2 linked regions of the Rattus norvegicus genome follow. Each later gene encodes a partner of the first gene's protein in a complex. Links are inferred from orthologs where the notes say so. Each region holds a gene or a part of one and is shown on either strand. Other genes may lie near its edges.

Evidence for each region.
Region 2: Pigp (region 1) and Pigy share a complex: the UniProt entries of both Homo sapiens proteins name them as parts of the glycosylphosphatidylinositol-N-acetylglucosaminyltransferase (GPI-GnT) complex. The link is inferred for Rattus norvegicus from reciprocal best matches to the Homo sapiens genes PIGP and PIGY.

Annotation. Positions count from the first base shown.
Region 1 is NC_086029.1:47,155,790-47,160,324, forward strand, and holds the start of Pigp (phosphatidylinositol N-acetylglucosaminyltransferase subunit P), read right to left. Parts: upstream 2,978-4,535; 5' UTR 2,851-2,977; intron 2,797-2,850; exon of another isoform or gene 2,610-2,796; intron 2,501-2,609; exon of another isoform or gene 2,486-2,500; coding exon of another isoform or gene 2,381-2,485; coding exon 2,299-2,380; intron 1-2,298. Other genes in the region: E3 ubiquitin-protein ligase TTC3, read left to right, coding at 3,176-3,221. UniProt on the Homo sapiens protein: Part of the glycosylphosphatidylinositol-N-acetylglucosaminyltransferase (GPI-GnT) complex that catalyzes the transfer of N-acetylglucosamine from UDP-N-acetylglucosamine to phosphatidylinositol and participates in the first step of GPI biosynthesis.
Region 2 is NC_086026.1:28,964,903-28,968,633, forward strand, and holds Pigy (phosphatidylinositol N-acetylglucosaminyltransferase subunit Y), read left to right. Parts: upstream 1-1,522; 5' UTR 1,523-1,797; coding exon 1,798-2,013; 3' UTR 2,014-2,974; downstream 2,975-3,731. Other genes in the region: uncharacterized protein Pigyl1, read left to right, coding at 128-337, 573-1,211. UniProt on the Homo sapiens protein: Part of the glycosylphosphatidylinositol-N-acetylglucosaminyltransferase (GPI-GnT) complex that catalyzes the transfer of N-acetylglucosamine from UDP-N-acetylglucosamine to phosphatidylinositol and participates in the first step of GPI biosynthesis.

The sequences.
Region 1 (4,535 bases):
AGAATCCAGGATCTCTAGTGGCTGCCTTATTTGTACCTTTCTTGTAATACCTACCATAATTACTCTATTAAAAGTTTTTAGTGTCTTGGTTTTCACACTGCACTTTAAAAAGCCTATGGATACCACCCAGAGGTCCCAGGGACTAAACCACCATTCAAAGAGTACACATGGAGGGACCCATGGCTCCAGCTGCATATGTAGCAGAGGATGGCCTTGTTAGGCACCAATGGGAAGAGAGGCCCTTAGTCCTGTGGAGACTTGATGCCCCAGCGAAGGGGGATGCTAGAGTGGTGAGGCAGGAGTGGGTAAGCACCCTCATAGCGGTAAAGGGGAGGGGTACAGGGGGAATGGAATGGGGGGATTGTGGAGGGGTAATCAGGGAGATATCATTTTAAAGGTAAATGAATAAAATGACTAATAAAAAAGTCTGTGACATATTATTTCTTAGCAACTTCTTTTCACAGCACCTAACAGTTTGCTTCTGCATTCTACATGTTCACTATTTCTCCACAGAGAAGATATAATTGCATTTAGTGGCTTAAAGGGGAACTTGTCCTCTCTGGTTTTGACTGTCTATACACAATCTTCTTTCTGTCAACACCCTGTCATTGTGGGCTCCTTTCCTGCTGTCTCCGTGCAGTAACAATAGGTCCTGAATGTCTCTACATGCACTAACTCGTTTAATCTTCAAAACAGTCCTGAAGCACACACGTCTGTTTTATACATGAGAAAGGACTCATTTGTACAAGGGAAGTGAAGACAGGTTTCAAGCTACATCAACGGTGATGGTTTTTTTTCCGTTAAGAATGAAGTGTTACAGCTTTGTAGGTCAAGACTGGGATACAGTCACTCCTGAAGAGAGGGTTTGTGCTTTCCCAAATGCTTCTGGTGCTGAACAACGATGGGAAAAGAGATCTTTCCCCTACTCTGTTGTAAGTGGTACTAAGAGACAGCACACAGCACATGGGGAGGGCTCTTCCTGCTCCTTAACCTCCCTCCCCACCGTTTTGCTTCCTGGATTTGTTTTCCTTACCTGTATTCTCCAACTATGTGGAAAGCTCAATGAAAGCAGACGACGAGGCTTGGCTTGCTTTGCCTTTCCCTGGCCTGTAACACTGCCTGGTACATGGTAAGTGCTCAATAAAGTCTTCCATTAGTTTTTGGTTGTATCTAACATGTTTGTAGTCTCTAATCCTTAAATCCTCTTTGCGTAGGAATTTACAGAAATAAACGGCAGCTAATACCTACTCAGCAGCCTCTTTTCATAAATCACCCGAGTTAATACACGAGTCAGAGAAGGTCCTTAGTACAGCGAAGCCTGCAGTGCACCTGTTCTAATTCCAGTCCCGTTGCTTCTTGGCTTTGATCAAGTCACTGAAATCCAGTATTCCCATCTTTACACTGAGGAAGCAAGGCAGCACCTACTTCACAGGCTCACTTCATGCAAAACAAAAAGCTCTCAGACCAAACAATAATTGCACGAGAGCCCATAACTGAACCCAGTTGTGGCTACTTCATTCCACCGATTCCACTACACTACGGTTAAGCTAGGGTTTTGTACTTAGGAGTTGGGAACGACACTTCCACATATACATTCTGATTTCTATCTAGTCCCAGAAGGTTGGATTGTGGGCATTCAGTTTTCTACCACTTGATTGCCTCATATCTTCCAAACTTTTTGAGGGACCTTTTGTTTTGTTTTGTTTTGTTTTGAAGCCTCAGTGGCCTCATCTATAAAATGGAACATTATGGTGATCAATGTTAAGGGTATGCTGTTACACCTGACCTCTCTGGCCCATTCTCTTCACTCTTCAGCTCCAGTTTTGCTTCCTTGGAGCTATAAACGCCTCACTTTTTTTTTTTTTTTTTGAAAAACCTTCACTGGTTTTCATTCAGGGACTCTCCTCATGGTCCTTCCTGACTTATTCTGATATAATTACCAGGGAGTGCCCTGGAAGAAGCTAACCATAGTCTCTAAACCTTCCAAGGCTCTCCCAGGGCACTCAACATGCTCTCTGAACTGTGGGTTTACTATTCTTCTCCACAGGACGATGACCTCAAGGGTTGGGACCAGGTTTTATTCACATTAGCATCAAGCCTGGTGCTAAATATTGGGTGATTTAACCTGATACTGGATATATCAACTGAGCAAACAAACGGTACCCTTCAGGACTCCTTAAAAGTAGAAAGAATCAACAGGTCACATGTGTACGTTCTATGGACAAATGCATTATTTCCCGGTCCTCGAATACTAAAGGTCCACTAAAGGCCCTAGCCATCCATCATTCCAGTACTTACTGAAGCCAAACTGAGAGCTTAGGAAAAGAACAAAGCCATAAATCGCTCTTTCTGGCAATGGCGACGGTGAATTTTCCACCATCTTCCCTGTGGCTTTAGACAATCTGTGGAGAAGGAACACAGTCGTCGTCAGACATCCCTCCTCCCCCCCATCTCCCTTCACCATTGGTCTGTTACATAATCTCATCACTTGCTGCGGACATAGCCACTGCGGATGCTCACACGCGCCCGCCCCAAACAAGGGCCCCTTCGCGTGCGCGCGCCCCTGCAGATGGGGAGGCGGGAGCGCGCGCTGCGGGGAAAAAGCGCACCTCGGACCCTCTGAGACGAGGAAGGGGCCCCAGGCCGGACCAAGGTCCCGAGTCCTGCCCGCTCACGAAGGGCTCTCTCCCTGCCTACGTGACGTTCAAAGAAAACCGAAAGCCCTGGACCTAGAGTCCTTCAAGCACCAACGCCCACCCGTCCCCACCCTCAGCCCCTCGGCGCTCAGCCCATTGCGCAGGCGCGGCCCAGACACCCGCATTGGGGGCGGAAAGAAAAAAATAAAAAAACCTGAGGAAAAGCAGGGGCTGCCAGGCGCCCCCGCCGCTTGGCGCAGGCGCACGGCGTCCGCAGAGCGGGGGCTACCGCGGTCTCACCACCCACCCAGCCGAGCTGGGGGGGGGGCGGCGCGGCGACTGCGCATGCGCGCCTCCAAGCCACGTGACCCGCCCGCCTCAGGAGCGGCTCAGCGCTCGCTCTGCGGGTCTGGTTGACGTGGAGGGCCGGAGGCGTCGGCAGCCCGCGTCCGAGGCTCGCGGGCTGCGGGCCCGGGTGAGTGCAGACCCTGCGCGCGGCGGGGCTCCCGGAAGCGTCTGCGCATCCCGCCGCAGCCGAGATGCCTGGGCATCGGGGCGCTCCACACCTCCCTCCGTGGGTGTGTGGTGAGTGTGGGTGTGCGCGTCGCCGCGGGTCTCGCCGAGCGCCCGCGCGCCGAGGGGGTGTGGCCGCCCTTGCCCCAGTGGGTGTGTTCCCTTTGTCCGGTGTTCCTCGTGCGTCCGTAACGGTAGGAGGGGGCTTTTGGTGCGCATCGCCTGGCGCGCGGGTGACATCCCCAGCCGTGTGTCGGCTGCCTCATCCGGAGCGCTCGGAGACGCTCCTCGGGGTCTGCGGCTCGCCCGCATTGTTCCTATGCTCGCCCTTCCCTGCGGTGGTCGCCCTTCCCTGCGACGGCGAGGGCGTCCCCATCCTCTGAGGGTGGTTTTCCTCCCATCACCTTTGTCACTCCCTTCCCTGTAGTGTGCGCGCCTCCGCCTCAGCGCGCGCGCCCGCCGCTGCGGCTGTCTGCAGTGGCGGGCGCGCGCGCGCGTCTTCGCGGGTCCCCGAAGGTGCGCCGCGCGGGGGGCCTGCGGCATGCGCGGGGTTGTGCGAGCGAGCGCGCGCGTAAGGCCCCTGCTCTGTGTGTGTGCACGCCTCCCCCTCCCCGCGTTCCTGGGAGGACCCGGGAGGGACGCCGAGCTGGCCCCCACCCACCTGCAGCCTTGTCCTACGCCTGCGCAGGGGCTGCTGCTCAGCAGTGCTGGCGACGTCATTAAGGCCTGGGCGGCCATCCCATAGTGGGGAGGGGACAGGCGTGGGGGGCGCAAAGGACCAAAATGAAGCCGAGGGTGTGCTGGTACCCCTGCACGGTGCCTTTTCCAGAAGCTTGTAGTTTCCAGACATCCTTCAGTTTGTAGATTATTTCCACAGTATGTGCTTATGCCTGTCACCAGGCGATGGCTAACACTGGTTATTGCAGGGTGTTTTATAGCAGCCATAAACAACTCTGGATTCCGGCGGGGGATGAGGATGGTTCAGGGAAACGGTTGAAATCATACAGGTTTTACTGCTCTCTCTGGGGCAGTTTCTCACAACCACAGCTCTAGTTAGAACACTTATATCAAGAATTTTGTATTTTACTTTAAGGAAAATGGGTTCGTTATATGGGAAGACGTCCCTAGGGATTCAGTTGTCACTACTGTGCTTGTCAAGGGTTTGTGCTTTGCGCTCAAGGGCTGCGGATTCTCCTTCTCTCTTGCTCAGTTTCCTTATTGTTGCCTAATTTTCCCTTTTTCTCTTTCAATTTCTGGACTACCTAAGAGATTAAACACAGGTAGACCTAATCAGCCAGGCCATTTTGTTTATTATTTATTCTTTTTTTTTTTTTTGCCAAATTTACTTCAGATTCTCCAAAACAAACAAACAAAAAAAAATTTTGG
Region 2 (3,731 bases), on another chromosome or scaffold:
CCTAGGCAAGCGCTCTACCACGGAGCTAAATCCCCAACCCCAACATTCTCTCTTAAAATTGCATTTTACACTTTTTGCAGGAGTACACGCGGGTGTGCTGCAGTACATGCGTGGAGGTCAGAGGACAATGCGAGAAGAAAATAGGTTCTCCACCGTGGGGGTGGGGGTCCCCGAGGATCGAACTCAGTTACTAAGGCTTGGCAGGAAACGCCCGTACTCGCTGAGCCCTCTCATCGGCCCAAACTACTATTTTGACATTCACCAATTCAAACGTAAAACGACGGATCGGACTCGTTCCCCGCTGCTTCAGAGGCTGGGTGATGGTGGCTGCGACCAAGTTTGATTCAGGCTTCAAGTTTATCAGTTAGAAATGGGGAAAGCTTTTCAGCGCAGAAAGACACCGGTCTGCTCTGGAACGCCGTGAACACACTCTGCGGCAAATACGTTCCTCTCCAAGGTCCAGCAGTCCTGGCACACAGGACGCCCAGCCGGAGGCCGTGGGGTCCGGGGCAGGGAGGTCCTTATCAATCAGGGTCCTCTCAGCACCCCTCTGGCTTCACCCGTCACTCAAGACTACGGGGGCGGAGCCTGAGCGCCGGAGCGAAGGCGTGGTGCGCTGTCCAATGAGCACGCGCGGATCGGCTCCCTCGCGGGATCTGGGTTTCTTACCCCGCCCCCTCAGGGATTTGATTGGGCGGCTGGCCCGGGTGCTCCGCCTTCGTAGAGCGGTGACGGTCACAGCCAGGCGCAGCCGGGACCCGGACATTTACAGGCCAGTGAATGGTGAGTTCAGGGTCTCGAGATCCGATACGGGCGGAGGAGCTGTTGGAACCGGCTGGGACAGGACTCGCGCTAGCAAGGCGTCTGCGCCACGGACGCCTCCGGTTCCGCTTGGCTGGCTGGTTCACTTTCGATTCGGCCGGGTTCTCCTCTGCCCTGTTCGGCTTGGTCCGGTTCTCTCCGGCTTGGCTCGGTTCTCTCCGGCTTGGCTCGGTTCTCTCCGACCCGGCCATCGCTACCCTCGGTCAGCCAGAGACTGCAGCGGGACCCGGGTGCCCCTTCGCGTCCCCGAGGCGACTGGGCCCAGGGCTGGCGCTGTCTTCACTCTGTGCATTGACGACGGGCGGCTCGTGACGAGGCTCCGGGTTCCGGTGCTGGTCCCCAGCCGGTCCTCGTCGTACGGGAAGCCTCCACTCAGGTGTCTGAAGTGAATCTGGATTTGTAGGTCTCATTCCGCTTCCTCGGTTCGAGAAAACACTATCAGTCCACCTGTCCTTCATTCTGCTTTTCGAATTTCTTAGTTCCCAAAGAAATGGATGACACTTGAGTGTTTTGAAGGTTTGTTTTCTAGTCGGGCGTGGTGGCTTGGGAAGACTGATGCAAGAGGATCCCAATGTTTGAGGCCAGACTGCAAGTGACAGCAATCCTCCTGCCTTTAACCTGCTCAGTACTGTACAGGCTGTTTCCCCTTCTTTTCCTTTCCCTTCCCCTCATCTTGTCATCTTGCACTTTTCTCATACAGTAAGGAATCCTTTAGCCAGCGCTGCGAGGGACACGTGTGTTGTCTGCAGTCGCTGGTAACCGCTTCGTGTGGTGGTGGATTGGATCAGAACGAGGCTGAGGAGCCGTCACCCTCAGCCTGGGACCGCTGAAGTTTTTGTGTGCTCTTGGGAAGCATGCCTGGATGAAAGAGGAGTCCAGAGAAAGGGAAGATAAGACAGGAGTGCACCAGCACAAGAACATAACTTTGAAAACAACCGAGTTTTCTTGAACTGTATACCTTCAGAAGGGAGGAGGATGATCCTGTCTCTGCCCACCCTGACTGTCCTCATCCCGCTCATCTCCCTGGCGGGCCTGTTCTACTCCGCCTCTGTGGAAGAAAACTTCCCAGAGGGCTGTACCAGCGCCAGCAGCCTGTGCTTCTACAGTTTGCTTCTGCCGGTCACCGTACCGGTGTACGTGTTCTTCCACCTGTGGACTTGGATGGGCCTGAAGCTCTTCAGACATAACTAGGGTAGCTGAGGCCCCGCTTGTGCACGGGGCAAGAGGCTCCTGGTTGTTGGGTTCTGCCCTCAGGTGTTGCAGATTCTCCTGTTAGTGCTGTAGCTGAAAAACACTTACAATAAATATGTCCCAAGGGAGAGGAACATGACCGGTCTTCATCCGAAGACTGTTTTTTCTAAGATTTATTCTTAATTATGTGGATATGAGTGTGGGTCCCCAAAGAGGCCACACGAGGGTTGGAGGTACGAGCAACTGTAAGACTGCCGGAGCTTTACTCAGATCCTCTGCAAGGGCAAGCAAGTTCATGTCCTTAACCCCTGAGCATCTCTCCACCTGCCTGTTTCCTCCCTTCCCTTAGTTCTGGCTAACCTCAAACTGTGAGAGGCAGACCTTGACCTCCTTACCTTCCTGTCTCTACCTCCTGAGTGCTGAAGTTATAGGCAAGCATTGCCGCATGTGTTTATGTGGTCTGGCAGAACCCAGGTCGTGAACGCTAAGTCGGCACTCTGCCAGCCAACCACCCTGAGGACTGTGTTGTTGTTGTTGTTGTTTTGAGTCCATTCATTTAAAAGTCCGTCATTTGGAAGCCGAGCAGTGGTGGCACTCACCTTTACTCCCAGCACTCGGGAGACAGAGGTGGATCTCTTGAGTTTGGGCCAGCACAACGAGACTGTAAAAATAATAATTTGGGATTTTGTTTCAGCTTCAAGGTCAGTGGTGAGGTGTTGGATCTGCTGAGACAAGGGTTTCAGATGGTTGGGAACTACTGTGTGGGTGCTGAAGAAAATCCAGTGCTCAGGGATGACTCCTTTGAGGAGCTGAGTGGTCCGTAGGTTGGTGGCTCACAACTGCCTGTATTTCCAGTTCCAGAGGCTCTGACTCCCTCTGCTGGACTCTGGGTACCTGCACACCTGTGACATGTCTATTCATTCACACACATTAATAAATTTATTTTTAAGAGGGAAAAAAATCTGACTATAAACTTACCTTCATTGTTTTTTCTTTTACATTTATTTTTTTTCTTTTCTTTTTTTTCAGAGCTGGGGACCGAACCCAGGGCCTTGCACTTGCTAGGCAAGCGCTCTACCACTGAGCTAAATCCCCAACCCCTCTTTTACATTTATTTATATGAGTACACTCTAGCTGTCTTCAGACACACCAGAAGAGGGCATTGGGTCCCATTACAGATGGTTGTGAGCCACCATGTGGTTGCTGGGAATTGAACTCAGGACCTCTGGAAGAGCAGCCAGTGCTCTTAACCACTGAGCCATCTCTCCAGCCCCTACCATCATTTTTTCAGTGTCAGGTGAGCAAGGTCAGTGTTGGTGTTTTCTGGTTCTTGGATTCTTATTCAAGGAATAAAGGCCCATATACAGATTTTCAAAGTTGCAAGGAAATTTCACTCAAAGCAGAGCTAGATCAGGCATGCAGATACATGAGCCTATGGGGGCTCTTCTTACTCAACCACGACACCTGTTCTCCCAGCCTAAATTCCTCTGACTCCTTATGACTCCCTGTACCTCTAAGTTCAGAGGCTCTGCCTCCAAAAGCACTGTACTCAGGTTTTTAACACACACCCCTAAAAATAAACACAAAGTTTTCAAAAAAGAGAACATGTTTTCTTTGGCTGAAAGCCGTCCATCCTTGCTTGAAGGTAAGCCAGAGATGGGTGTGACCATTGCCAGTTCTTGATGCCTGCATTGGACAGAGTCTGGAAATCCTTGAGT